4 linked regions of the Rhinolophus ferrumequinum genome follow. The protein of the gene in region 4 purifies or fractionates together with the protein of the main gene of each other region. This does not show direct contact. Links are inferred from orthologs where the notes say so. Each region holds a gene or a part of one and is shown on either strand. Other genes may lie near its edges.

Region 1 (7,513 bases), on a different chromosome or scaffold from region 4:
GAGGTAACCAGAACATGTCTTCGATCTTTTCATTGAAAAAAATGGTTTGCTTTAGATTCAGGCTTATTTCATAAATTCCTATTAGAAAAATATTTTAATAAATTATTATGAAATGTTAAAAAATCATGAAAAATTGCTGAAATAAAGTGAATGTTAGCAGAGTAACAGTAATTACAAATGCATAAACTGGGCAGCCATGTGGCACACAGCATACAAAGAAAAGGACTGATGTATTCTACACTCTTAAATGGTTCATAGAATATCATGTAGTGTGTGTGTAGGTATATAAATGATATGGAAACATCTCAAAGATACGCTAAGTGAAAATAAGTAAGGATTTTAAATATAACTGGAAAAGTATCAATGACAGTTATATACAATAACATAGGTGAATCTCAAAATGCTGATAAAAACCTAGACAGAGGAATACATATGCCATCTATATAAAGTGAGCAAAACGAATCTATGGTGTTGGAAGTCAGGATGTGGTTATCTTTGGGAAGGGTAGTTACTGAGGACACAAAGGTGGCTTCCAGGGTGCTAGTGGTATTTGATTTATTACCTGAGTAGTAGCTCTGTGTACTTTCTCACCTTGTGATTGAGCTGTGCACTTAAAATGTGTGCTAACTTCATTAAAAAAGTAAAAAGGCAGCAAACAGTGTTTACATTAAACATTTTGGAAGGGGAAGAGAGATGAAAACTATATGCATATGTTTGCTCAAGCATAGATTCACTGGGAAAACACCAAGAAACTGGTTTTAATCTCTGCTTTGGGGGAGAATTAGAAGGCTCCGAGCTAGGGAAAGAGGCAGACTGGTTTTCACTTTTCGTTTTGTTTTTATACCATGTGTGTATGTGTTACCTATCCAAAATAAAATGAAACTATGCTAACTTTTAATCAAATTATCCACAAAAGTAATACAAAAGAGGAACCATAGAATGGGGTGGTGGGGGAAGTAAGGGTGAGAAATACTGCGGAAGGGAAGTAAACAACCACCCCTAACATTTAAAAAAATGAGACTACCTAAAGAGCTAGATAATCCCAGCCTCAACTGTATAGCTGTACCTTACTGGGTGCCTACTGTCTAGTGTTATACATGTATTATTAATCCCAACACCAACCTCGCAAGACAGGCACATTATCTCTATTTTAAAGATTATGCTCACAGAATGATTTGCTTCAAGTCACAGAATTAGTAAGTAGTGGAGCTTAAATTTGAATTCAGAATTTGAATTTGTGCTCTTCTCTGTGAAAGCACTAGGCAGCTTCATAGTCTAGTAACTGGACATCTTCCTCAGGAAAAAAATAGCTAACGGTAGAAATACTAACATTTACATTTGTTGTCACTGGTAGAAAAATTCAAGAGCTGGATAACTGCAATAATACACATATTTAAGAGCTGGGTATGTCTAGAAAAAGTTTATTTTCAAACATTTTTCTAACAAACGAAAAAAATAAAGGCAAAGGAAAGTACTTTTGGGTAAAGAATTTTATCAAGTGAATTTACTAAACTATTGCCCCATTTCTTTCAAATACAATTTCCTGTTCTATCACATGTAAAAGCTGTGTCCAAATGTGAGCACATTCACTTTTCAGACCTACTGCTATGAAAGACTTGTTAATTCCTATTTAGGTGTCTTTGGGAAGCTGAAGTTTTCCATTTAACTTACAAGGAAGCCTTACCTGACAGAGTCACGCCCAGATAGAATGACTGAGTGTTCAATCATAGAATCAAAATAAATAAACAAGAGTGTCATTGACTTTAAGAGTTATTTCCAAACAGGCCATTAGCTAAAGCTGCCTCCCCACCCCCTTAAAAAAATACAGTAACATAAAATAGTGAGTCTTGGCAGTTACCAGAAAGAGCCTGGACATACATCTCCAACTCACTGTTTGTGATAATGGCTTTCATTGGAAACTCAATTCCAGATCGTAACAAGTTCAAACAATTATGCCAGAACTGCCGTTCAAAAGCTACAGAACTTAATTTGATACTTTTAATACATTATGAGTTAACTAGAGACCCATCCTATGATAACAGGAAATAGATAAGAGACTCTACACTCACACTCATCTTGGGATAGGCAACATTGGCATGACTCAGTTTACATTCATACAAAAATACTATCTACCTCATAGTGTTAATAAGAGAGATAACTAGGGTCTGCAAGCATTTTTCAGGTCACAGGATCACAGGCTGTCTCTAAGGGCACTGCATACATTTCCTGTAGATGAGTCCACTGCATTTTAAAAATTTGTTAAAGACTGACTTCCCAGCATATGTAAATAATTTTCTGCAGGCCAAGATTTTCTTCGGGGAAATGAAGACATTTGTAAAGAAATCGCTCAGAAGAGAATTTATCAAATCTTCGGAAATGCCGCAACTTCCACTTCAGAGGGCCTCTGGGATGATAATCAATTTCCATCAGGCTTAGCAATACTGACGTCCCCAACTTTCTAGCTGTCAGGTTGATAGGGGCCTGGAACTAACCCTTTCCCGCTCTTTGGAAAGGAGGAATCACGGACCCTCGAGATGATTGAGCCATAAATGGAAAAACAAGCGTAGAAAAAGTAAAAACAAAAACGGTTGAAACATACGCAAAAGACGCGAGGCCAGGGGCTGGGGATATAGGGGCCCCCACAGGGTGATACCAATGCCAGGGTGAGAACGCGACCAAAGACGCCGACGGCTCTGTACCCCCTGCGACACCCCTGACAGCCGTGCCGTCTGGAAGTGTCTTTGTCCAGGTCGGCCAACCAGTCCTGCCGCCTCACCCTGTATCTCCGGGACGTTGTGCCCGACGCGGCAGCCCCGGCGGCCGCCTGGCACTCTCCGCCCGCCCCTCACCTAGCCGGGCTCGGCGGGACATACTAACCGGCTGGTAGACGCCATCTTCACGGCCACTGCGGTTCCAGCGAAAAACAAGAGAGAGAGAACAGGAAGAGACTGTGGCGACCAGACGCTCCGAGCCGAGCTTTATAGGCGAGTCTCCCACGCAGTCGCAATGGGGCGTGGCTACGGATCCGGAGAGGGGCCAAGAAAAGTGAGATCGGGTATGCCACGTGCTTTGCCTTTTATTTTGCTGTTTGGTTTCTGTAGCTTGTTACGTTGCTGGGCGAAATCAGCGAAACTACCCAGGAAAACTTTCAAAGGAACCCTGCAGACGGGCTACCCCTGAGATACCCTCAACTTGACTCAGTTAAAACACAAAGAAAGACAACCCTGGCATGGTGTTGGGGGGAAAAGCCCACATTCCGGAGGGCTAACTACCCTCCCCCCACCCGGAAGTCGGTTACTCCAGTTGGGCTTGCAATTCTTACTTGCTAGGTGGGTAATTCCACTAGGGAATTTGGAATTAAAAGAGAAATTAACTTGGGTTAGCCAGACCGGTATCAATTTAGGCTCTGTCATCAAATAGCAAGCTGTGTCTTCTTAGGCATATCCCTTCTCCCTTCGCTATTGGCGCAAAGAGTAATAGTATCTGCCTTGCATACCCTTTTAGAATTGGCAGAAGATGAAACAAAACCATGAGAGAGCACAGTACACCCGTGAGGCAGGGAGATGTGGAGCCCTATCCTGATTGTTTTTTTTCCCATGGCCTTTGCAAATTTGGCTGATAGCTGAAATATAGAGAATTTACCAAAACGTTTAGATATCCCTAATTAGTCAAATTAACGTCAGAAAAGTAACAGTAATAATAACACTACCACCACTTTTCTGAAAACAAGCCACCCTTAACCCTGTGGAGATAGGAAGAAAAAGGGTGCTCCCGGTTTCTATGGGGATGTGGACTTAGAATATAGTGGCTGCTTTGTTCATTTGGGTATGGGACTTAAAATTCCAAATTCCAGTGGAATTACCCCTTTAGGCAAGTAAGAATTGCAGACCAACTGGAGTAACTGATTTCCGTGTGCGGGGAGAGTAGTTAGCCCGCGGGAATGTGGGCTTTTCTCCCAACACCAAGCCAGGGTTGTCTTTGTGTTTTCACTGAGTCAAGTTGAGGGAGATTATCTCAGGGGTAGCCCGTCTGCAGGGTTCCTTTGACAATTTTCCTGGGTAATTTCATTGATTCGTTCACTAAGGTAGCAAATCACACTGAGCACTGATTGTTTTGTTGAAAGGTGGGAAAGACTTGCTTCCTTAGAAAGGAAAAGGGGTGTAAGAGACAGGAGTTTAGGAAGCGAAATCTAGATGGAGATTTGAGAGCTTTTTTTTTTTTTTTCAGCCCTCCAATCTGTAGTTTAAAAACTTGACTATACTATTGTGTGTGTGGAGGGGGATATTCTCCTTTAATATTGGGGAAAGAGTCAAAAATGCCAATTCATTTAACCTGTGCCAAGTGCAACCAGGAGCGTGGTTGGTGGGGAGCGCTTCTTCCCAATCAGGCAGGAAGTTGTTATAGTAGAGCACCTTGATATGGGAAAAGAAGAGGGAGAGGAGGAGGAGGACAACTGAGTACCTTTTGAGGATCAAGAATAAGGACCTACTAACGAATGGATTCATGGTAGGCGTTCCATAATGTTTGTGCAAGGAAGAAAACACCAGAGAAATTGACACTCCAGAGGAAGGAAGCTGGACAACCGGCTGATTTACTCCTGCCCAACCTGGAGAGTCTCTTACCTGACATAACCTACTAGTTAGGATTTCTATTATATTAAAATAAAAGCCGCTTAGGTAGATTATTCCTTTTTCTTTATTTCTACAGCATTGGCAATTTATATTATAAAACATTTTCATCAACATTATCCCATTTTATCTTTATATCTGATCCTGAGATTAACACAAACACACACACAAACTGGGGTTTTATCACCTAGGAATCAATAACCCAGACTAGCATTTACCAGAACTTCTAGTTTGTTAGTGTCATTATTTTTATTTAATTATCTGGATTAATTGAAATAATTTATTTAAATTAATTATTTAAGTTAACTCATCTATTTGAACTTAAAAATTTATTTTAAGTTTATATAACTAATGTGAAATCACAACTTGTGCTAAAATTCTTTCTTCTAAACTATAAAATGTTCGACATGCCTAATAAATGGTTTCTTTAAAGTTTGTGACCCACCTAGATATATCTTTTTTTTTAATGTTTTGAGGTGTAAGTATATACCACAGAATTCACCTTTTTTTTAAAAAACTTTTATTCATTTTAAGTGTGTTTTTCCAGGACCCATCAGCTCCAAGTCAAGTAGTTGTTTCAATCTACTTGTGGAGGGCGCAGCTCACAGTGGCCCATGTGGGGATCAAACTGGCAACTTTGTTGTTAAGAGTACCACGCTCTAACCAACTGAGCTAACCAGCTGCCCTGAATTCACCTGTTTAAAGTCAATGATTTTCAGTAATTTTACCAAATTGTGCAACCACCCCCACGATCCAGTTTTAACACGTTTCCATCATCCCAATAAGATCACTCATGCCCATGCAGAGTGATTGCCTATTCCATTTCCAGCCCCAGGAACCACTTACCTACTGTCAATCTCTATAGGTTTGCCTTTTCTGGATTTTCCATATAAATGGAATTGTATGATATATTGTGTTTTGTGTCTGGCTTCTTTCAGTTGGCATAATTTTGGAAATTAGACATAAGTTGGCATTAGACTTACCTTGCAGCCTCACTTTTGGAAATAATGATATATAAATGTCTGTTATAAAAGTGTCTGTTGGAACAGATGACAATTTCCATAACCTAAGCAAGGTTGGATAAATATTTGTTCGGTAATATATGACATATTCAGAAAGAATGAAGGATTCAGTGAAATGTATGACCTGGTCTGACTTGGACTCTTTTGGAAATGGGATGAAATGTCTAGAATATTAGACAAGCCTCATATGCCTGATGGCTAAGGAGCCATCTGTACTTCTTCTAAAAATGTGAAGGTATAAATTTTTTTCCAATTTTTTTATATCACGTATGAAGTTCAAACACACTAACCATTAGAGAGAATATAATGAATCCTCATGTGCCTATCATCCTGATTAAACAATGTGAAGATTTTGCCACATTTGTTTCATGTGTCCTTTATTTCTTTTTTCTCCCTTTGGTAAAATATTTTAAAAACAAAACTCCATATGTCACCTTGACTCATACATACTTTAGTGTACATTTCTAAAAAATAAGGACTTTTAAACCTTTTTAATATAGCATATATAGCATTATAAAACTGCATTACCAATGATTTGTTTACACACCAAGTTTTCAGTTGGTGATCATCCTGGGCATGCTTCTCGGTGTTTGGTTTCACTGGGCAGCAGAGAAGTCCCTGTTAAGGTGGCAAGGAGTCAGAAAGTGGACAGGGAGGGCCCACATGGAGCTGCAAGAGCTAGTTGAGTTCTTGAAAGTAGACCTAAGTAAGGTCCATATGCATTGAGCCATCTGTTAGGTACCTCACATTCATTATCTTATCGAAGTCTTGGTTATCATGTCAGGCAAATGTGATTATTCTCCTAAAGGTTTAGAGATGTTAAATAGGTAAACTTCCCAGGCTCATGCAGCAAGTTACAGGTGTAGGTAGGATTCAAAGCCAAGAATGATTAAACTCTCCACTTCTATGCTTGCCTACTCTGTAACCGTTATTGCAAGACTATATTTTTTAGACCCAAATTAACTGTGCCCTGGGAAATACAGATTATATTTGTAGAAGCATTCACGATCCTTTTTATTCTTTAATAACAGCTATAAAGCTTTATTAAATTCAGGTAGAAGTAGTAATAAAAATTAATAACTATGGTAATAATAGCAAACACTTACATAGTGCTTACTATGTGCCCAGTACTATTTTAAGACTGTATATATACGTATTAACCCATTTAATCTTTCTAACAATTCTATGAGTTGGATACTATTATTGTGCCCATTTTATGGATGGAAAAAATTGAGGGTACAGAATGGTTAAGTTACTAGCCTGAAGTGACACAGCTCGTAAATGACAGACCAGGGATTTGAAACAGTGGTAATTCTGTTTCAGAATCCATGAAGTATGCCTCTTAATAGAACTCAGTATACAGAAATTTAGATTTAAAGATTTTACGATCAGGGAATGGATTCAATAAGCAATGTGCCTACAGCATTCATGTGGGCTTCCTATTTGGGGGCAGCTGTACTCTAAATATCCTGGCCAGCTGTCTACTAAGGACACTTGTGTTTGTCAGACCATGTGATACACAAACAGAAATGTGCCTGGCTTATTCCCTTTGCTAAATACACTTACATATGTGATTCTGAATTTATTTTTTCCATTTGTTTATTTATTTGAAACCTTTGATTCCCAGTAATTGCTGGCGTCTCCTCCATTTGAGAATACATACAGGTTTTCACTAGAAAAACCAGCATTTCTTTGAAATGCTAGAAAATAGAATATTGGCTTAAAACATTAATAATCTATAAATAGAAAATATTAACTGTCAGTTATCTGCGTACAGAATCAGGGAGGTGATTGCTAGAAATTAATTCATTTTTTAATTCAATGTTCAGTGAGCAGTAGTTTCCTTTTAAACTTCTAAATTAC
Region 2 (7,400 bases), on a different chromosome or scaffold from region 4:
GCCAAGAGAGAAAAGGTAATCAGAAAAGACATGAGAGCAATGTCCTCTCTGAGTGTGCTGTTTGCTTCATCCCTGCAGATACTGACAGACGGGTTCAGGTACCCAGAGGGTCTCAGTACCTCTTCTGTCAACCCTCCAGAGAGTATCACCGCACCTGAAAGGGAGTGGTGCCCCGAGTCCAAAAATACCTCGCTTTAGCCAAGGAGACCAACCCGGATGTCGAGTCAGTCACCAATAAATGTTAACTTTTCTGCTTGGTCCTTGAAGAAAATCCATAGGCAAATCATGAATGAGCTTTGCAAACAAGTTATTTCCCCCAAAATACACAAGTCCTGCTTGTATACCAAACTGTCCTGCTATGTCTGTCTTCACTAGCTTTCGTGTCTGCTGTAATGGGGAGGTCTGAGGGCCCACAGCAGAAAGGGAAGTGTCGGGGCTGGGCGCCCTGAACTCTGCTAGGGAGCGGTCACTGTTAAACACTAGGCTGGGTGGGCCCCACCTCCCTCTTCCTTGAACATATCAGGGATCTGTGCTGACCGTGAAGTGTCTGAGGATAGGGGCGGACTGGGAAAAGGAACTCAGCGCATACGGCTCTTTGTCTCTAAATGCCATTCTCCATCACAAGGAAACAGCACTTCTTGGCCTAATGGCTGGTTCCAGGGCGGGGACTGCGAGAGCTAGAGCCCGAATACTACTGCGTCAGAAAGCAGGGTGGTGCTCCGACACGGGGCCCTGTCGGAGGAGGCAGCTTGAAGGGGCTCCCACTGACCAACGGTGGGATAATCTGAACATGAAGGCAAATAATAGTAACATAAGTCCTCACTGCGAAACTGTACAGTAGAAAGCCAGCATTCCTAAGTTCCTAGAACTGTCCACTGTGGAGAGTGAGCCCCGCCCACTGTGGCCAGGATGCCTCCTGCTGATGGCAGTGACAACGAACAACTCTGCCAGGGGTGCCGGGCTCTGCGCGGGAGCTGCAATGCTCGCTCACACCTACATTCCAGGAGAAACGCTGTCAGTCACCAAATTCTCAAAGAGCCTGTGATGGGCCCCTGCAGTGGGGCACCCCAAGGCTCAAACACTGAAACACTGAAAGCAGCAGCGACTCACAGCTGGGAACCTGTCATCACACTGGGTATGCAGCAGACTGGGAGACAATGGACTGACTGGTCACTCGGATGTGCTTGGCCAGCTTGATGCGCTCGCAGCACTACATGTGGAGCTTCCCACCGACGAGCTTGTCTGGGCCCCGGGGGCCTTCTCTGTACAACCAGAGGGACAGAGCGGCACAGAGAAGCCTCTCCACTTCTGGGGTTTTCTACACGGTGATGCACCAGCACTGGGCTTCGTCTCCGTCATTCACAGGCTGGTGCGTTTACAGGCTCATTAGCGCCCAAGCGAAGGTCAGGTAACAGGTGACTTCAAAGTAATGATGACAGCATGCCAGTGTGTCACCCAGAGCACAGTGCCCCTCCCTCCTACAGGAAGCCAGGCACACAGCTCCAGTGAGGGTGCAGTTCCCAGGTGGCATCCATCCCACCCACCCGCATCCACGGGGCAGGCGTGGGCGCCTGAGCTGACGGCCAGGGACCTTCCTCCAAGGGATGAGAGGGAGAGTGGACGAGGGTGAGGGTCCCGGGCTGGGATGGAGCACGGTCCTGTCCCATCCTGCCCTGGTCATCAGAGTCCGGGAGGGAGGAGATACTCAACAGGTGGACGGTGAGAGCAGGCCCCACGGAGAGGAGCCGAGACAGGGCAGGCAGCACCACCGGAGGAGCGCCAGGGTGGACAGGGGCCTGAGCACCTGGCACACTCCGGTCGCCGCCGAGGAAGCTGCGCACCGGCCACGACAGCAGGGCGCAGGAATGTCCCCCTGCCCTGGCTCCCTGTTGCCGACAATGAAACAACACACCTGTGCCCACACTTCAAGCCGATCTCAAGAGCACCACCCCGGTAAACTCAGACAGAAAGTATGCGCGGAGACAGGTTCACACACTTCAGAAGAGGAAGCAAAGTCCTTCATGAGAAAACATAAGCACCCACAGCTAGAGCCCGTGGCAGGAGGGGCACTACCACTCTGTCACCGGCTGCACCCCTTCCCGAACTACGCTGCACACACCGCCGGGTTTTACGACCGCGTCTCCCGAGGCTGCCGACACCTAAGGCAGAGGACAGCCCCAACAGCTTGTTTATACTGCGATGACAAGCGCGGAGCGTGCTCTTCTTCCAGTACTCGCCGTCGCACCGAGTTTTCCTAACTTACAAATGCCGAGTGTTGGGGAGAGACAGCGATTACAGAAGAGAAACGAACACAACCATTTCCTACACAAAAATCACAAGCGGTGACTTGTGCAGCCTCAGAAAAGCACGCAGCCGCGCAGCCGCGGGGGGTGGGGGTGTTCCTACCTTCCAAAGTTCTCCCCGAGCGCAGCCCCTTCAGCCGCAGCCCCTGAGACCCTTTCCTACCTAGTGTCCGGGCCGGTCCCCTTTCCTGGCCCAGAGAACCCTCCCGGCGCTCCCTCCCTCCCCTCCCTGTTGCTGCCCTCTCCCCCGACCTACTCACCCGGGAGCCACCACCTGGCCCGGGTGCGCGCACAGCTCCCGCACCACGCCGGCGCGCTCCGACCTCAGCCTGCGCTCGGCGCGCACGCAGCCACCCGAGCCGGCGCGAGCAGGAGCAGGTCCGGAGGGCTGCGCGGAGGCGGCGGCCTCGCACACGGCCAGCACCGAGCCAATGCGCACGGTTGTGCCCGCCGCCACCCTCCATTCGAGCAGACGCAGCGGCCCGGGGCCCGGGCAGCGCACCTCGGCCACGGCCGCCGGCGGGACGCCCTCGGCGGGAACGCGGCCGGCGGGCGGCGCCTCCATCCCGGCCAGCGGGGTCGCTGCGGAGATGCGGCAGACGGGTGCTCAGGCAACGGTGCCCATCGCCGGCGGGCGGGCGACCCCGGCCCAGGCGGAGGCGGTGGCTGCGCTGCGATTCCCACTCCTACACCGGCTTCCACCCGCCGCCCTGGTCCGCGCCGACTTCCGGGACAACGCATGACGTCACGTGACGTCGCGTGCGTGCGTGCGCCGTGCGGCCCGCGTGTAAACAAGCCCGCACTGTCCTCGAGAGGCGCTGCGCCAGCCGCAGGTACCATAGGCGCCATAGTACCAAACCCGTGGGGCTGGGTCCGGCGGGAACAGTGTCCCTACGCCGTTTACCCTATGAGTACAGGTGACCGGTATGCAACGCTTGCTAATGTCCCACAACTCCGTTTATGCGCTGAGGCCCGGGCGTTGTTAAATTATGAGTCCCGCCATGCACCGCGCACTGCCATACCCCGTATCCCCGTCAGGCTCTGCGAGTCCCGGCATACAACGCGGGCCGCCGTCCGACATTCCCCTCGCGCGCTAAGGCGGTCGTCATGAGAACTACGAGTCCCGGCATGCAACTCCGGACGCTGACCGGCAGTCCCATCACGTGTTGAGACCCGGTGTCATTAGTCTGAGTCTTGGTTTGCAAAGCGGGCGTCGTGGAGCTGCGGTCCTGGCATGCCAGTGCCCAGGCAGGGGTCAGAGGGCGATGGACGTCCGGCCCTGCACCTCGCGGCAGGTCATGTGTTTGGCGGTGTTCTCGGACTCGGGCCCTGCCTCTCGCCCTCCGAGCCGCACTCCTGCGGAGGCCGCGCGTGGGGATACCTCGGCGCTCTCGCCGCTTTTGAGTGCGGGATAATTTATGGAAATGGTCGTTCTTGGTTCCTTGAAGGGCATTCTTCACAACCATTAAAGACCTGCAATTCCCCTCTTGCCCCCCGCCCCCGGGAAATGTGGACGGAGCACCTGCCACAGCGACAGAGCCTCAGACGCAGAAAGCAGAAACTGACAGAGTGACAGGGAGGCAGACAAGTGACAGTGGCAGTTGTGCTCTTCAATACCCAACGTCAACGTCGGGTGGAACAACGAGGTGCAAGATCGGAAAGGACAGCGGGCTGGAACAACTGTGAATCCTCAAAGCAGCACATGCTCCTTCTCTTTACCTCCGTGCGGAACTTGCTCCAGGACAGGTTGTGTGCTAGGACATAAAACAATCCTCAGAAAGTGTAAAAGGACTGACACCATACCAAGCTTTTTCTCTGGGCACCATGACATTAAGTGAGAAACCAACATGGGAAATTTACAGTTGGTTGGATGTTAAACAGTAGTCATAAGTAACCAATGTATCGAAGGAAATCAGACCAGCAAAATGTTTATGATTGAAAGTAAACAGAAATATACTACAACTTGTGTGCTACAGCTAATGCAATGCTTAGAAATACGTGGCTAAAATATCTAATATATTAAAGATTAAGAACAAATATTAATAATCTAGCCTTTGTCCGTAAGAAATCAGAAAGCGAAACCCAAAACAAACAGATAAGAAATGATTAAAGCAGAAATAAAACAAATAAACAGTAGAGGAAATCTACAAAGCCAAAAGATTAAAAAGACTCTTTGGTTCTTTGAAAAGATTTTTAAAAAATTGACAAAATTTTAGCTGGATTGATCAGGAATAAAAGAGAGAATTACCAAAATTAGGAATGAAAGAAAATAGCACTACCGACCTCACAAAAAATAAAAAAGATTCTAAGGGAATAATATGAACAACTGTATGCCAACAAGTTAGATAACTTAGGTGAAATGCATAAAAAATTCCTAGAAAAACAAACATACCGAAATTGAAGAAATAGAAAATAGGAGTAGGCCTACAACACGTAAATAGAACTAACCTCACTTATTTTCTCTGAGTGTTAAAAAAATGCCTCATGGACTTCAGAGCTTCCGAAGAGGGTGTTCAACGTCAATACTGTTTTCTGCCCACCTGTGTTACCTGGGGCTTTACCTCTGGTCCTCCCATACAGCCTTCTCCAGAAGCTCCTTTCCAAGCCCAGGTCGTCAGGCCTGGCAGGTGTTAAAGGAAGGCACACTGCCCAGCTAGATGGAGCTATTGCTGATTTTTTCTCTGGTTATCCAAGAAGCAAGTCCACCTCGCTTAAAGGAGCTTCGTTTTCTGGAATTAATACGGTCTAGCCCTTCTGGTGAAAGTATATTTTCTGTTAAAGTGATTTTGACCCTATTCCTTAGAAAACAGCACCACCATTTTCATGTTTTTGCCATGAGGTGGTTGGCGCTTCCCCACCTCTGTATGCTTGAGCCACACGGTGACTGTAATGTCCTATCTTACCTACCTTGCCATGGTGGCATTTCATTTTTTTGTGATGCTTGAATCCTTTTCCTGATAAAAGGAGGGGACCTCAGCCCCTGTCACCACCCCCAGGTCACTCGAGCTGTCACAAAAACATACTTTTTTCAGATTTAGCGGTAGTTGCAAGTTCTCAGCTGCTACCCTCCCGAAACTTACCCTGAACAGTCATGGAAGCCTCAGGAGGCCATTTTGCTGTGCTCCAAAAAGCCTTCTTGCCACCTCTCGAGTGCTGTGCCAAGGAGCGTCTCAGGACTCACTCCTTGGTCTCCCTCCCTCCCTTTTGCACTGGCTCACCAGGCCCAGTGCCCTCACCAGAACTTACACAAAAACATAAGATACAGGTATCAGGATTGTTTGTATTATTAGTATGCCACACCTCGTGCATAGAAGAAGCACAGACAGAGAACACCTCAACCTTTCTCCTTTGGGCACACACGTTGAAGGGCTGATCACCTCAATACAATCAAGAATATTGATTTTGTCAGGGCTGTGCTGGAGTCTTAGGTTTGGCTCAGTCCAGTTTTGGCTTCAAATATCTCGAAAGCAAGACTTCTTGTGTGCAATAGCAGGCCCTCTTGCTGGTGGGAATTTATTCATTCATAGTTATCTCAAACTGTACATTTCACACTGTCTCGAAAGCCTGGCCACAACCCCACCCCTACATGCTTCCCCAGCACTAAGCAAGTGTCCTGGGAGGAAAAGCAGCTGTGTATGTGGGGCTCCTTTGTGTCCAGCCCATCACACAAGCCAACACAGAGGACTTATCTCCCCTTTGGCCAAATCTCTCCATCTGTCAAGCTCGAGCTCAGACTCTGCCCATACTCAGCGAATGGTTGAGAGAAGAAAAGGGCCACTGATGGCAGTTTATCCGGGGACAGGTTTTCTCTCTCAGGGATTTTCTTTCTTTTCATCCTCTTATTCTCCAGAGTGCCTTGATGTCTTCTAAAACACGATATCTGCAATTATTCATTTTCCCGTGTTATTGCAGCAGTGACTACCTGAGGAAGAAGACGGTGAGTGGGGTTTTGACACGAGGTAAAGAGGAAATGGGCATTCCGGCCATGAGGACCATCATGGTTGAGGTTCTGTGCGTTCCCTTAATAAGAGTCCTTTGTGGCAAAACCCCAAGGAACAGTACTGGGATGTTTGAAAAAGGACACATACCACGGTCCCATCCCTCAAAATTCTGACTTAATTAGTTTGGGGTCGGATCTGAGTATCGGGAGTTTTGCTTACCGGGTTATTTGAATGTGTAGCAAGGTAGGCAGTGGGTAGTCATGAAAAGTTTTTGAGCAGATGTATGAGCTTATTTAATCTGTGCTTAAGACAATGCTGGCAGCTAAGGGCTGAGAGAACCTGGAGATAAAGACCCCACTTCTGAGGTTGTCTGATCAGAGGGGAGTGTTTGCAGGGAGAGCTGCTGAGTTACAGCCACCAGGTTTTGTCACTTGTTTGGCAGGTCAGTGAGAAGGAATGAAAAATGGCTCTGGAAGAGGACACATTAACAGCAGAGAAACAGCAGGGAACGGCATATTGGGAAGAGAGCTTGTGAGTGCCCTTGGGGTCCTTACGTCCGAGTTTCCTGAGCCTGTGATAGAATTGATGGAGGAATATTTTTCCTCTGAGTCCCCAAACGATGTTGGATCTGCAGGCAGTTTCTGGGTGTGGGCCAGGATCGTGTCTCGTGAGACCGAAGAATGGAAACACGGACCCAGGAGAAGTAAAGAGATTTTTTTTTTAATTAATTTTTTTTATTGGGGAAGGGGAACAGGACTTTATTGGGGAACAGCGTGTACTTCCAGGACTTTTTTCCAAGTCAAGTTGTCCTTTCAGTCTTAGTTGTGGAGGGCGCAGCTCAGCTCCAGGTCCAGTTGCCGTTTTCTAGTTGCAGGGGGCACAGCCCACCATCCCTTGTGGGAGTCGAACCGGCAACCTTGTGGTTGAGAGGACGCGCTCCAACCAACTGAGCCATCTGGGAGGCAGCTCAGCTCAAGCTGCCTGCCATGTTCAATCTTAGTTGTAGGGGGCGGAGCCCACCATCCCTTGCGGGACTCGAGGAATTAAACTGGCAACCTTGTGGTTGGGAGCCCACTAGCCCACGTGGGAATTGAACCGGCAGCCTTCGGAGTTAGGAGCACGGAGCTCCTACCACCTGAGTCACCGTGCCGGCCCT
Region 3 (7,411 bases), on a different chromosome or scaffold from region 4:
AACACAGTCCAACCCCCTAACCATGCTTTATTTTTCTGTATGGTATTTATCACTTTCTAACATACTACATAATTTATTTATTGTGCATATATCTATCTTCCTTAACGTTTAAGATCCATATGCAGAGTGATTTTTGTTCACTGCTATACCTATTTCCAGCATCTAGAGTAGGACCTGTTATAAAATAGGTGTTCCATAAATATAAGTTAAATGATGTCTATTACTTTTAAACATAACAAATTATCCTCCATCCAAAGATTTGATATTCTGTTCCATTTTATTCTATTTATGTGTGTGGCTTGGATTATAATATTTAGGTCTTTACTAATCAGGAACTTATGTTACGTGGTCAATTTTTTTTCAAATACTAAATATTCCATCATTACTTATTAAATAAGCCTACACTCGCTTTAAAAACTAATTCCTCTGAGACTCTACTTTTTCAACTAAGCACTTCTTTCCCTTTCTACCCTATAAGTGATTCTGAGAGTAATTAACTATAAGAGAAATTCCATATTTGAATAAGATTTTGCATATCTAAGCTGAAAAAAATAATTATGGTAAAATATTTTACAAACATAATCTCAGTTACAAGGAATCCAGTCATTATGTAAATAGTGAATAGTTAGTTATGAGGAAGGCAAATATCAACTATCTATAAGCTATACTGTTTAGTTTAATCTTAGCAACCTTACAGGGTAAGATTATTATCCCCAATTGACAGATGAGAATGCCGAAGTTTAGAGATTACTGACATGCCCAATGTCCAACAACTAAAATGTGGCACAGCAGGATTTGCATATAAGTCTCTCTAGCTCCAAAGCCCGTGCTTTCCCCACTATACCAATGGCTTTCAATGGGGGCAATTTTGATATCTACCAGGACATATTTGGCAATGTCTGGAGACATTTTTGATTGTCATTCCTGGGGGGGAGGATTGCTATAATATCAATAGTGCCAGTGTTGAGAAACCCCGCACTATAAGTATCTTAGGACAAACTATTCATATGGCTTTCTTTAAAAAAAACATTTACATGAAGTAGATTAATAGTAAATCTTGATCAATCTTGATTGTGTCACTGGCAAAAAAAAATAAGTTGCAGTCAGTTTTTAAGCATTGTCTTATCAATATCTGAACCTCTGAATTTAGCTGACCATATGTTACAAAGATGATTCTCAAGCTACTAAGACTAAGCCTCACTATTCTTAAATCTACCACAATCACCTAATCTCTAATAGTCATGCACAAATCTACATCTGAATCTCCTAGTTCTCTACTGAGCTCCACACTATTTTTCAATTACATACTGCATCTTAAACTCACCATTTCCAAAGTACACTTATTTGTCCTCCTTTAGGAAACTTCTCTTCTTAGGTAGCCGTTTTCTGTTTGGGATGTTTCTACCCTCTCAGAGGCTAGAAACCTAGCCATCTTTGATGTCTCACTCTCTCTCACCCCCACAATCAATGAGTTCCCTCTATTCTACTCTAAACCTTCCATGCAAGTGCTACATCGTGCTCACTGGAGGCAGAGCCGAGTGGATAAAAGTTCTAAAACCGAACTGCACAGGTCTGAATCCTGGATGCCGCATAAAATCTGTTACTTTTGGGCAAGTCACTTATCTTTCAGCGCCTGTTTCCTTATCTACAAAATGAATTTAACAGTAGTACATCATGGGATTCTGGAGAGGCTACATGAGTTAACAGATGTAAAGCACTTAAGACAGTATCTGACACATAGTAAATACTCAATAAATATTAGCTATTATTAATTTTATTATTACTAGCTAAAAGTAAGGTACTTTGAAAGGTTATCCTCTGAGAATGCAATTGGAAAAAATCAAGGAATTAAAGAAAACATTAAATTTACTTTATTTTGGGCTACAAAGGTACCATAAACACACCAAAAACAAATGTATTAAACAAATGTCCTAATTTTTCTAAAAATATTTTCTTAAATAAAAAAGGGATTGGCCCTTTAAACTACTAAGAGAATTTACAACAATGTGTGATTTAAAAGTTTTAGTAATTTCCCAAACACAATAAAGGTATCCTGGATATAATCACTGACCAGCACGTCTAGATTGTGATAGCAAGAAAGAAAACTTCTGTAGAAATAAATAGCACCATAAAGGAAGAAAAAGTGTGTCCTGGAAAAGAAGATGCTCCTCCTTTGTACAAGAAGCGGAGTCCAAAGACACAAAATTTGGCAGTGTTGCCAACATGTTTCTGAGAAAAAGCTGTTTCTGATCCTCAAAAGATCCTTTCCCATCGCAGAGAATGATTTATCAGACATTCGTAGCTGGATCATATTGGCCAAGTCATTCAGCTTTCCCGTTCTGATTTTATCTACTCAAAATATTATATACCCAAAATGTTATCTTACTTAATATTTGGTTTTCTATATACTTCTGGCTGGAGGAACAGAATGTGCAATCACCAAAAATTAATACCTAGCCTGCCTGATACTTATATTTCTCAAGGTAAATTCGTGACCCAAATGCTACTTGTGATGGTTCAACCAGATGTAATCCCTGCTCTCCTAAAGCACTTTACTTATACTTCAACTATAGCACTTATTTTATTCATTCTGCCTCCTTAATGCTAGTTGTTTACATGTTTGTCTCTTCCACCAGACTGTGAGTACCTTAAAGTATATAGTCCCAATTCCTTTTTTGTTTCTAGTTTCCTCCTGTGGAAATTTAAGTTAGTTGATTCTTAAATGTTTGATGGATAATGAATGGATGAATAATAGCATCGTGTGGATATTCTCTTCCAGGTAAAGGCTGAAAAGTTTGCACAAAGATTATACTTACCTTATTCTTTTCATTCTGAATAATTTCTAATAGCTGGTCTATGTGCCCTTCATCTATGCATCTTTGTCCTGCTAACTGAAATAGACCAAAATCTTCTTCTTTGAAGTCTCGCTCTTCTAGGATTTGCTGGCAAACAAACAAACAAAAACCAAACATGTTTAGGCAAATAAAAATTCAATAATGACTTGATATATTTTCTCTCTGAAAAAAAGGAAATCTGTTTAAATTGTAGGTAAGTTACACATAAACATACGTATGAAAATTAGGATTAGCCTAATAAATACTTTAGTGAATGATCCTGAAATCCACTATATCAAAGAAACCTTTAATAAGGATTAAGATTAAAAATTTTAAAGGTTATTTAGAAAAGTATGTCATTTGGAGAAATAACCCAATTGCCTTCCTGCCCTATCACTATTTATACATAGGTCAAAAAAAGCAAGGATTAAAGAAGATAAACAATTCGAGTGACTACAAATATAATTAAAAATAATCTATGCCCTTCTCATATTTTGAAAGATATTTAACTTTACAAAAAGAAAAATTACTTACACATCTCTTTATTACGGATTGAAGTTCCTCCACAGCCATTCCTCCTTATTTTTCCTAGCTTTGAGACTGAAATGTACTAACATAAAACACAGTTAACTATCAGAAATATTACATTTAAGTATTAATAAGTGATATTTCATTCTGATGAATTTTTAAATACAATAAAGAAAATGTAGTTTTAATGCTGAAATGCTACTACTAAAAGTAGTCTGTTAACCTAAGAAAAGTTTATTTAAAAAAAAACTATTGCACCTTTTCAAGTTTTCTTAAACACAGCTTTGCTTAGTGTAGTTTTGAAAGATACATCCGAAAATAAAAACCTCTAGAGCACTCCCAAAAGGACGGCAAATAGGGACTACACAAAGTGCATTGAAAAGGCAAAGTGTTTCATTTCTGAAAACATTTCCAAAAGGTGGGCCTAAAATCAATTCTAATCAACAGGGAATTTCTCATTTTTTAATGTCCTACTTGACAAAAATTGAAGTCAACACAACTCACCCAGAATGGGTGGAAGTTCAGATGCCCTCCAGCCCCTGTGTGACCAGGACATTTCCCTTAAGAAATGAAGTACCCAAAATAATCAATCCAGTCAGTGAGATCAACCGGCGGCGCTCAGGAGAACCCCGTTCCATTCCCGCTGGCCATCGTTTCTCCCAGCTTGAAGGCCCGGCACCAGCTCCGCAGGAAGGGCGCGCGGGTCCGGGGGTCCTCACCGCAGCGCGCTCCAGGGCGGACAAAACCCCAGCGCGCGTGCGGGCGGCATCCAAGGGAAGCCATTTCTCCTGATTCCTGCTAGTCGTGGCGCTCGGGCCTCACCACTTCGCCGGGCCTAATCGGCCGGCGGCACCGCATCCTCCGCGGCTCAAGGCCCGCCGCGAGCCCCCGCCGTCCGGGACCTCCCGCTGCGTCCACTTACCCGCCAGGACTCTTGCCCCTTTCAGCGTCCTCCTCCACCTCCTCTTCTGGCCGCGTAGGCCGCTCTCCGAGCCCCGCCCCACTCCGGTCGGCCCCGCCCCGCGCTGCGCAAGGGGAGGCGGAGCCTCAGGGGGAAACTCTAGGGTCGGACGCGATAGTCGGACGACGCTCTCCATGGCTGAGTCGGCCTGGCAACCCTCCGCGGGCCGCAAGGCTGGGGCCCCGCGCCCCCGCCGAAACGCCGCAGGTAGGCAAAAGAGCCTCTTTCCACGTTTTGACCCCGAGAACTGAGCCCCTACAGGGTTCTAGATTAAGGCGCGCGGGGTGCTCCCGAAAAGCTTTCTCGGGGGTGGAGGTCTTCGGGGACGGAGAAGGCCAAGAGCTTCCCACCGCCGTCCTCGCGCCCCCTGGGAAAGACCTTCGGCCGAACCCCCAAATCTTTACACTAGCGTTCCAAGATTTTCCCCCAGATGGCCTCTGAGGGAAAGGACAGTAGAGTTCCTGGAAGCCTAGAGCTGGAGTCGCCAGAATGGGCAAGTGAGCAGGGCGGCATCAGCCAGCGGTGTGCGGCTGCCGGTGAACCTCCCATCGGTCCTTCCATTTGTCCTGCGGCTTTGGTGCCCCTGTTCTCTGAGGTATTGGAGAATCACCTCCCTTCTTGCCAGGGAGTGAACATTTGAGGGCCGGAGAGAGGCTTCCCCTAAAAGTACCCAGATTTCAGATTTTTCACGAGTGCTTAAGTATGCATCTATGATACAGGAGAAAATTCAATCCCGAAGGAGATACATGTTAACCAGGAAAAATTTGGGAATAATTAATTTACAAAAACAAATTGGATTCCCTTCCCATTTCATTTTAAATATGTGGAAAAGAAGAAAAGATGATATACAGTTTATTTGGGCAGGAATCTGTTCTATAACCTAATGTGTGCAGACTTGACTAACTTTGTTTTTTAATTTTAGGTACTAAACAGACAGGTGCTTTGAAACAGCAAGATGCTTCTAAAAGGTATGAAAACTACTTGGACAACTGCATTCACTTAGCTGTTTATCTCATATTAATTGAACCATTTTTAAAAACAATAATGGGTGCTACCTTAGAGAAATTTATTATGAGAAGGGGAAGATCTGAAAGCACTATAAATTCTCACATAGACAGTTATATCCCCCTACTCCATGCTTTAAGAAAACCAAATCAGACATTTTTAGGTTGCTGGTGAAGGTGTATGAGTATCTGTAGAAAGGTGTACATGGGAATAGACGTTCCTGAATTAACCAAGTACTCTTTTTCCACCTCTTTGTATACTCCTTTTTTTGCTTTATGTGTTAGAGACTCCAAGAAGCCTTGTCTGTCCCATGTTTGTATCATGTCCAAATTTTCAACAAGAAGTTGTCCTGTATTGTCTCTTGGCTTCTAAAAAGACAAGATTTATCTTCTGTCACAAAATGTTTCTAGAGTAGGAGTAGTCTGAGATGATTAAAAAATACATACCTGTGATACATCATTTTATGAAGTGTTGGCTTTGTCTTAATTCAATTAATCTTTCAAAAATATTTACTGAGTGTAAGATATACCAGACTTGTATTAGGCCCCAAGGATATGGTTTTGAACAGAATAGACATAGTTAACTAGTTGAACAGAGAAATACCAATTAAATTATCAAAAATAGATATATAATTACAAATTGTAATAAGTGCTGTAAAGGAGGAGGAGTAACAGGAGTCCAGGTTAGCTGGAGTTTTGTGGGTTTTTAGGGAAGGACTTTTGAGAACAGAATAAGCTGAGTCCTGAAGGCTAAGTAGACATTAATCAAAGAGTAGTAAGGAGAGACCTATAGTCAGAAGTGGGAGTACGTGTGACAAGAAAGGCACGGTCATTTAAAGAAAGCAGAGATGCCCAGGATGATGTGCCAGCATTCTGAGCAAGGGAAGTAAGGAGCATAGGAAAAGGTTAGAGAGGCAGGATTCCATTCATATAGACCTAATAGGCAATGGTGAGAAATTTAGATTTTCTAAGTGCAAATGGAAAAACTTTAAGTAATAAAGTAATGGAATTTAAGTTTAAAAAGTTTTAAGGTGTTAGGGGAGGTGATCATCTGGGAATGGAGAAATTGGATGAATTGGAGATCTGTTTTGGAAAGTACAGGCATACCTGGGAGGTAGTACGTGTTCAGTTTCAGACCACCACAATAGAGTGAGTTTAGTTAATATTGATAATGATGGTAATTTGCAACTTTCTTCAACACTGATCTGACCACAAACCTGAAGAGATTATATTTTATTTTGAGCAGATCATTCAAGATGATGAAACAATTAAAAATCCATGGGGTAACCAAATAGTTGTTGAGGGAAACGATCCTTTATAAATTTATTCCAATTGCAAAATACTTCTATATTCAATCCAAATGAATAGTTTTAAGCCAGAAATTAAAGAACTTTGCAAAAATATAAAATAATTCCACTATTCACACTAAATATTTTATTTTAATTTTTTATTGGGGAATATTGGGGAACAGTGTGTTTCTCCAGGGCCCATCAGCTCCAAGTCGTTGTCCTTCAATCTAGTTGTGGAGGGTGCAGCTCATTGGCCCATGTGGGAATCGAATCAGCAACCCTGTTCAGAGCTCGCACTCTAACCAACTGAGCCATCTAGCCGCCCCGACACTAAATTTTTATTTCAAAATGTTAACATGTAAATTGTATATTATTATTAAATGAATTAATAAATAAATGGTTTAAAATTTTCTCACTTTTAATCCTACTGTGGTAAATATAATGTACATAAGCAAAAGCTCGAATTTTAAAAGTACCAGGTCTGCCAGTTAAGTTCGCGAACTTGCCACTATGCACTTACATTGGCAGCATTGTACAAAGAGCTCAGTAAGGTTTCATAACTTTAGTATATCAGTGTCTCACAGCTGTGTTCATGTCGACGTGTGGCGGTGTCTTGCTAAGTGGCATTCATTATTGTTGTTGCATGTTTTTGTGTGCCATCTCGCGAATGTCTGTGCTTGAATTAGAGCAATGAACAAACATTAAATTTCTCGTTAAATTTGGAAAGAGTGGAAGTGAAATCAGGGACATGTTAGTCGAAGTTTATGGGGATAATGCTATGAAGAAAATTGCAGT
Region 4 (7,596 bases):
CTAGGATGAGCTGCCCCCTAGACAGATGCCCTAGAAGCGGCCAGCACCAGCGAAGAGCTTTGGAGGAGCAGCAGCAGGGGGCAGCAGGGACCCCAAGAGTGCACAAGGAGACCTTGGAGCACTAGGTCCGTTCCTGCGCACGGACGCCGACAGCAGGCGCCATGCCTCAACTCCTAACCCCTTCTCCACACTTCCGGGAAGCAGTGGGGGAAGTCCTTGCTGTCATCACCCCTTCCCCCCACACAAGTCCGAGGAAACAACCCTGGGTGGTCCTAGGTGTGGGCACGACAGCCCTGCAGCTCTGGGCACACAGGCTGGCGTTCCCACCTCCCCTCTCCCCCTGCACGTCCAGCTCCTCACCCGGAATCGCTCTTCCAGCAGGGAGAGCTCGCTGATGAGGTCTGTGATGGCATTGGTGAAGGCCTCCTGGGGGCTGTAGTCCGGGGTGGTCTGCACGCGGATGATGATTTTGTGCTCCAGAGGGTGGGGCACTTTGTAGCCAGCAAACAGCACCTGGGGGTCCTTCAGCAGCTGCCTGCGACACGGGTCAGCAGTGAGCAAGGCTGAGCCGAGTGCCCCTGGCGCTCTGGCCCCTTGGAGCTTACCAGGCCTAGCCAAGGGGTCTTCCTGTTGCAGATGTGGCTGGGGGCTGACACTAGGTGGTTCCCTACACTTGGTTTTTAGTTGTCCCCCTGCCCCCCGCCAAAAAAGTCTTCAAGTAAAAGCTAACTTTGGAGAAGATATACCATATGGTGATTCCTCCCACACACACCCCTACATCCATCAGGATCAGGAACCTTAGCTAATAAACAGGTTTTCCAGTAACTTCTTTCCCGAGGGGAAGTCAGGGACCCTGCAATGACCCCAAAAAGACCTCCCTAGGCAGTAAAAATCCAGCCAATGTTCAGTAAACCAAAACACAAAAGGCCCGTTCCTAGCCCCAAAAGAGCCTCTGGCACGGCAAACAAAGGCAGCAGGGGGAGAAGGCCCCAAGCTCTGAGCAGTTAGCAAAATGGAAACCGAAGTCCTTTGGAAGGGGCTGGCAGCTGCCCACACCCGTGGGGTGCTGTTCTGTGAGGTGGTGGTGAGGTGAAGCCTGTGCTGTTTGCTGGACACGCGGGTGTTTTCTGCAGAGCAAGGTGTCAAGTGTGAGCACCTTGCAAGGTAGGGACACAGCTCACAGCAGAGGAGCAGCAAGGCCCCCAAAGACCCTGAGTGCCCCACTGGCTTGGCTCAGGCAGGAGTCATCCAGACAGGTGGGCAACCCCACCCCCTACTTACACCAGGACACCAGGCAGGCTTCTGCCCACACCCTAAACACGCAAACCTGAGAAAGGCACAAAAACAAGCAGGCCTACTTGCGGCTTCCTGCACATTCATTCACTCACTTCAGTCAGATAAATGAGCCAAAAGGAAATGTGGCTATGTGAACAGATTCCAGTACCTTTGAAGAAAAGGTACTGGAAAGTGAACTGCCAGAGCGAGCCATCAGAAGGACTTCTTGTAGCTCAAAGAGACTTAAGAAAATCTTCTGGAACTTGTGCTTTGCCTCAGAGTCCCATCCAACACAGCCCCCAAGAGCCTTGGACTTGGAACTTACGATTTAATAATGTTTCCTAGCGTATGATCTTCTTTGTTGATGGTGAACAAGCAGGCATTGGGTACCTTGGTGTCCTTGTTAATCGTGATCCTAGGAAGACGCAGAGGCAAGAGATGGGGGCAGGGGCTCCCTCCTCCTCCGAGTCTAAAGCCTGCCCTTCCAGGCAGGCTCGGGTCCCACCTCCTGGAAGCCTGTCGCAATCTCTTCATCCCATAAAGGCCTCTCTGACTCAGAGCAGCAGTTAGTGTATACTCTGAGCCCAGTCACGCCGATTCTGTGGGACCCTCACCTCCTCCGGATTGCTCCTTCTTCCTAAAGCACAGTTTCTCCACCTTGGCACCACTGCCATTTTAAGCCAGATAATTCTTTTTGGTAGGGAGCTGTCTGTCCATTGTAGGATTCCTGGCTTCTACCCATTAGATGCCAGGAGCGCACCCTTTATGACAACCAAAAACGTTTGCAGACATAGCCAGAAGTCCTGGGGGGCGGGGAGGGGGGGCAAAATAGTCTCCAGTTGAGAAGCACTGCTCTCAAGGGAGGCTGAAGTGGCTGGCAAGGGCTAAACATAGAGCCCTGCACACCAGGCTGTTGAGAATGAAAAGCCAATGTTTAAGAGGGTCTTCTAGATGCTGAGCCCTGGACTAAGCACTTCACATAAGTTACCTCATTTAATCTCCCCTTAGGTTTACTCATAATTCAATACAGTAATAAGCCCGTTTTCTAGATGATGAAAGTGGGCCTCAGGCAGATTAATTCACTTGCCCAAACAAGGGTCCTTACGCGGGGGAAGCAGGCGCCAAGCCCAGGCTGTCTGACCAGCAGACTACATTTTCCTTCAGCCTGCAAGCAATGAAGGTTTTACACAAGCGAATGGAGATTGCACATGAGTCTAACAGCCATCTCTTTCTGGCTTCAGCAAGGAGAATAAAGGTGGTCAGCTAGGAGCCGAGGAGGGGGCTGCCAATCCCAGGGGAAAAGGATTTCGGAGGCAGCCATTCTGGGTTCCAACACAGACCCGCCACTTCCTGTGCCGGGGAATTACGTAACCTCTCTGAGCCTCAGTTTCCTCAGCTGCAAAGGCAACAGTCCCCACCGCTTGGCAGGACTACCTGAAGTCTGGCAGACACAGGCGCCGGGCGCTTTGCGCGCCGAAGCTCAAGCAACAGCTGCTTCCGCCCGCCCCGCAGGAGAGCAGGCGAAGCCCCAGACTCTGCAGACGCCCACGACCGACAGTCGAAGGCCTGACCCTCCCCTGCCCACTTACTTCTTCTCGCCTTCGAACAGCAAGAACGACTCGAAGGCGGGAGGGGCGTTCATCCTGGCGCCGCCGCGTCCTGCAGACTCTCCACTACCTCCAGGGCGCTTTCCCGCGACTTCTTCCGGGTTAGCCGACGGGGCCGAACACGTGTACGGCCCGGCTCGGCGCCCCCTACTGGACTGGGGGATCTCGCGCAGGCGGGAGAACGCGCGGAGGGCCCGGGCCGGCTGCTGGCTCTGCGCACGCGTGAGCCGCGAAGGTCCCTTGTGGCGTTCGCCCCCCTGGGAGCGCACTGTGGCGCAGGCTCGGAGAGCGGGGAGCTGCTCTGCGCACTGACTTCCTCGTGCAGGCTAAGCGGCAGCCCTGGGCTCCACCTCTCTTCTCCCTATGTCCCTTGATCCCTCTTCGGAAATGTGCCCTTGGAGTGCACAGCAAGAGGTCCCCGAGTGGACAATGGAGCCACGGGGCAGTGGATAGGTGTGTCTGGTGGGGCTGACAGAAACCTCACAGGCTCGTGGGTATCCATCCCTTAAGCCAGACGGCTATGTACGGATAAGCCCCCTGCTAAGGCTGCCTGGGCAGATTGCTACAAGGCCCCTGGCTGTGTTGTCACTGGCTTGCCAAGTAGGCTTGTGTCCTAGTGAGCTTATTAGGGAGACAGTTGGGTGAGGGCTGAGGGAGACGGCAGGTGTATAGAGGTGTGAGAGGCGCTGCGAGGGATAGGTGTACCGTCCGTTTGGGTTGATATCCTGCAGACTACAGCTTAGTATACAGGCCCTACCTGAGCTGTTTGGAGCAACAGGGGCTGGAGTCTCAGCTACTGGAGCCCTAACAGCTTCCCAGCTGTTTCCTAGGTCTGAGCAGCAGCCAAGGAGCCCCCAAGGAAATCTGGAACTTTACTACCATTTCCTGGGAAGGGCCATTTCCTACTTAAGCCTTGAGCCCTGGGGTAAGGAAGCCTCATTCACTGGAGATCTACAGAAACCTTGACTCTCCAGGTCAAGTGGGTGGAGGCCTCTTTAACTGGTGAAGAATAGAAGGCAATGAGGGTAATGATGTCCCAAGGTTGTCACCCCTACCCTCCTGGATCATCCTGGAAATGTTTGGACCAAGGATGCTACCATTGCCACGACTGCAGGGGCCTGGAGGTGCCGAGGCTGGCCGCCCTTAACTGGACAGGGTGGGGAGAGGACTTTTACCCAGCAGAGGCTTCACCCTTCTTTCCACTGTGGAAGTCTGTCCTCTCTTGGGGAGTTCTGGTCGTACTCACCCTTTGATTCCCAGACCAACACGAGATTCTGGGCTTCAGAAGATGTCAGCCCTCCCCGAATCGAGCCTTCAGAGGCTCAATTTTGGTGTGCCCCAAGAGGAGGCCAAGTGACCGTTCCTATCTTCTGGTAAGACAGGCCTGCCTGGCACACTGCGAAAGGGGCTGCTGGACGTGTGATGATAAATATTGGGTGTGTGTGGCATGTTCTGTCAGTGTAACACTGGAGCGTGGCTGAACAGGCCTGACCAAGGCTTACTTATGTATGGCAGAGATCGTCAAACGGTGAGGGCTTGTGAACCAAATCAAGCCTGCCAAGTTTTTGTAAATAAGTTTTGTTGGAGTAAGCCAAGCCCATTTGTTTCCTCATTGTCTATGGCTACTTTTGTGCTCTGAGAGTAATTATGACCAAAACTTGCATGCCTGGGCCTTTAAAATCCCTAATCTTGGGGAATGGACCTGTGTTTGACTTTGATGTTTTATTTATCATCAAACTGAAGTTATTTATGAACTTGTAGGTTTGTATCCCATAGAGAAGAAAACTCCATTTCCCAGTTTTTTAACATCACAATTTATTCTAGTATTATTTTCCCCCCTCTTTTGCCTCCCCCCCCCATTCCAGTTCAAGCCATTGTTTCTCAGTCTAGTTGTGTAGGACACAGCTCCCTGGCCCATGCTGGTGTTATGAGCCTGTGCCCCCCCACCCCCCTACCCCGGCTGAGGCAGTCGGTCGCCAGTCATCGGTCAGCCGCTCACGGCAGCCCAGCTCCAGGAAGAGCTGTTGTTCACAACTTAGCTGTAGAGGGCGCAGCTCACTGGCCCCTGTGGGAATTGCACCGCGACGGGGCCTGCCCTATTGTAGCATTCTTTCCTCAAAATGCTTACAAATACCTAGCTTCTCAAAGTGCTCTACAAACCAGCTTTACCAAACATTCATTTCCTCTTTGATGTGTAAATATCTGATACGTTTATTCTGTATTTGTGTAAGTTATTTCTTTTTACGTACTTGAAAATTACGTTTTGGCAGGAATTACACTTTTCCAAAAGGAAGTTGGTGGGAATTTGCCCAGATTTCCTACAGGACAGGCCCAGAGGATGAAAGATGCACGTACCATGTGAGCTGGACCCACTCAGGGTTTCCCAGGATGCCTGCCCTGCGCTGCCAGCCTGCCTCCTGGGCAGCAGGGCTCTGTGGGAGGGTCCAATCAGACCCTTAAGACATCTGGGGGACTTGACGCAGGCTCTGGGTGAATAACAGACCTGGCAATCCCAGGGTGGGGGGTGTTGGTATAGAATCCCTGGGCAGGTAGGTGTGACCTCTGGCACCTTCCTGTGCCATGGGCAGGCAGGCATCTCCTCTGTCCCTTTTTTCCCAGGTGGCTTCCTAAAACAATGTGGCATCCGGGGCTCGGAGCCTGAGAGGCGACTCTGTGGGTGGAGGTACATGAGCGATGGAGGCAGTCCCAGGCCCTTACTCATTTGAATTCCCCTTCTGGCTGCAGTGGCCACGTCCACACCGGTGTCCACTGGAGGACAGGGTGGTGGGCGTTGCCAGTGGGTGGTGTATGCGCGCTGTTAAAATCCAGAATTCTACTTGTTGCAGTCAACAAGTGCACACCTCTTTCCCCTTCACTCCCTGAACTAGGGCTCAGGAGACAGTGGGGTCTACACTTCCTTTGAGGTCCTTGAAACCCAAGAAGATCCAACAGGCACAAGGATTTGTGTGACTCTAAAGAAGTAGCCAGAGAACCAGGGGCTCATCCAGCGCTGGACCCAAGCCCTGGGTTAAGAAGGCAGGTGTGTGTGTGGGGGGGTACCTAGCCCTGCAAAGAGGCTCGTAAGGTCCATAGGATGGTGGCATCATGACCAAGAGGCAATGAACATATAAAGGGGCGGGGGTTGGTGGGCTGCTTATGGGAGGACACTGTACCCCCATCAAGGCTGTGGCCAGAAAGGATCACCATGGCCCCAAATGCCATAGGGTAGAGGGAAGAGGGCAGCCCCTTGTTCCTTCATGCCCCCTTTGCTTTCTCTGCCATCTCTCAAAGAACCCACTATGCAGCCAGCCCAGATGGCCCTGCCCCAGGACCTGGCCGGTCAGCTGTGTCAGGGGGCCTGCCTGTGACCCAGGCCCTTGGGAACTGTGCTAGGCCTAGTATTCACAGGCAAGGCTTGAAGCTTGGTTGGATGAGATTCAAAGAACGTGCTGGAAGCCCCTGCCCCTCAAGTCTTGTTAATTATGTTGGAGGTTACTGTGTACCTAGATGGAGCGGGATGAGGACAGGGAGGTGACAAGCAGAGGAGCCTTGCTTTTGCTAAGGAGGGTGGCATAAGGGACGCTTTCCAGGGCCAGGCCACGTGATTCCAGGTTCTGAACCCGCCCCCACTGTGCAGTCTTCAGGACACTTGGAAAAAGGGCCTGTCTGGGGGCTGTAAGGAGAGAACAGCTGGTGAACGAAGTCAGGCTCTGTAGCCTGTGGGGGATGGAGGAAGGGGAACCAGGGGCGTGGTGGGGAGAGCAGCTGGAAGGAGAAAGGAGGCCCCCCTGGGAGATGGGGAAGCAAAGGGGAGATGGGGAAGCAAAGAAGAGACGGGGATGCAGAGAGACTATGCTGGTGCCCCCCCCCCACCACCAGCAGGCTTTGGGGTTCCCGGGCCCACTCCCTCCCGACCCCCATCACGAGACCCCAGAGCCGCAGTCACATCAGGTTTATTGTTGGCAATAGAGCACCGTGACGCTCTCCCAGGGCACAGCCACTGTGAGGGAGCAGATAGGGTGGTGCCTGAGAGTAAAGTGGGTGCTGAGGTCCAGGCCTGGTCTCCTGGGGCCTGTGTTCCCTCCCGCCTCTCTGAGTCCCAGGAAGTGTCAGTCCACCTGGTGCGGCCATTCCTAGGGATAGTTTCTGGCTGGGTCTATCCTGAGCAGGAGAGGAGGGTCCTGGAGAGTTTGGACTAGTGGTGGTGATGGCTGCAGGGCCCACAGGGAGCAACCAGGCCTCACAGAGAAGCAGATGCCCGAGTCCCCTAGAGACTCTGCATGGGCAATGACAGGCTCAAGTCCTGTCAGTTCCTGAAGTCTGGACGCTCTGGTCCCTGGCCTCCCAAACTCCCCCAGCTCGGGAAAGACTCGGGTCCTGCACCCCTATGAGAGGAACTGAGGTGAAGGACCAAGAGTGCACCCGAGATCTCCAAGCACCTGGCAGGGGGCTCGGCAAGAGAGTGTGGGACAGACCTCACGTCTGTAGCTCCAGGAGGCAGTTTGGCTCTAAGGGCTCAGAGCTGGCTGGGCTGCGGCTATGGGCCTCCTGGAGATCCTGTAGAACCTGCAGCATCTGGGCCAGTGGGTCCTCGAGGGCTGGAGGCAGACGAAGAGTGAGGGTCAGGCAGGCACGGCCTCGCCTGCCAGTGCCTGTCTCCAAGACCAAAGGGCCCCTGGGAGTGGCCCTCAGGAGCCCCACACACAGCATCCCT

Evidence for each region.
Region 1: the proteins of POLR2J (region 4) and GTF2B purify together in Homo sapiens (affinity purification with mass spectrometry; 3 studies listed by BioGRID and IntAct, with this or other methods). This does not show direct contact. The link is inferred for Rhinolophus ferrumequinum from reciprocal best matches to the Homo sapiens genes POLR2J and GTF2B.
Region 2: the proteins of POLR2J (region 4) and CTDP1 purify together in Homo sapiens (affinity purification with mass spectrometry; 4 studies listed by BioGRID and IntAct, with this or other methods). This does not show direct contact. The link is inferred for Rhinolophus ferrumequinum from reciprocal best matches to the Homo sapiens genes POLR2J and CTDP1.
Region 3: the proteins of POLR2J (region 4) and RPAP2 purify together in Homo sapiens (affinity purification with mass spectrometry; 5 studies listed by BioGRID and IntAct, with this or other methods). This does not show direct contact. The link is inferred for Rhinolophus ferrumequinum from reciprocal best matches to the Homo sapiens genes POLR2J and RPAP2.

Annotation. Positions count from the first base shown.
Region 1 is NC_046292.1:67,093,070-67,100,582, forward strand, and holds the start of GTF2B (transcription initiation factor IIB), read right to left. Parts: upstream 3,009-7,513; 5' UTR 2,895-3,008; coding exon 2,878-2,894; intron 1-2,877. UniProt on the Homo sapiens protein: General transcription factor that plays a role in transcription initiation by RNA polymerase II (Pol II). Involved in the pre-initiation complex (PIC) formation and Pol II recruitment at promoter DNA.
Region 2 is NC_046302.1:60,190,586-60,197,985, reverse strand, and holds the start of CTDP1 (RNA polymerase II subunit A C-terminal domain phosphatase), read right to left. Parts: upstream 2,869-7,400; coding exon 2,564-2,868; intron 1-2,563. UniProt on the Homo sapiens protein: Processively dephosphorylates 'Ser-2' and 'Ser-5' of the heptad repeats YSPTSPS in the C-terminal domain of the largest RNA polymerase II subunit. This promotes the activity of RNA polymerase II.
Region 3 is NC_046292.1:69,719,423-69,726,833, forward strand, and holds the start of RPAP2 (putative RNA polymerase II subunit B1 CTD phosphatase RPAP2), read left to right. Parts: upstream 1-4,404; 5' UTR 4,405-4,457; coding exon 4,458-4,530; intron 4,531-5,245; coding exon 5,246-5,291; intron 5,292-7,411. Other genes in the region: GLMN (glomulin), read right to left, coding at 2,817-2,942, 3,369-3,407.
Region 4 is NC_046290.1:92,243,688-92,251,283, forward strand, and holds the start of POLR2J (DNA-directed RNA polymerase II subunit RPB11-a), read right to left. Parts: upstream 3,015-7,596; 5' UTR 2,918-3,014; coding exon 2,865-2,917; intron 1,691-2,864; coding exon 1,601-1,690; intron 536-1,600; coding exon 361-535; intron 1-360. Other genes in the region: RASA4B (ras GTPase-activating protein 4B), read right to left, coding at 7,359-7,480. UniProt on the Homo sapiens protein: Core component of RNA polymerase II (Pol II), a DNA-dependent RNA polymerase which synthesizes mRNA precursors and many functional non-coding RNAs using the four ribonucleoside triphosphates as substrates.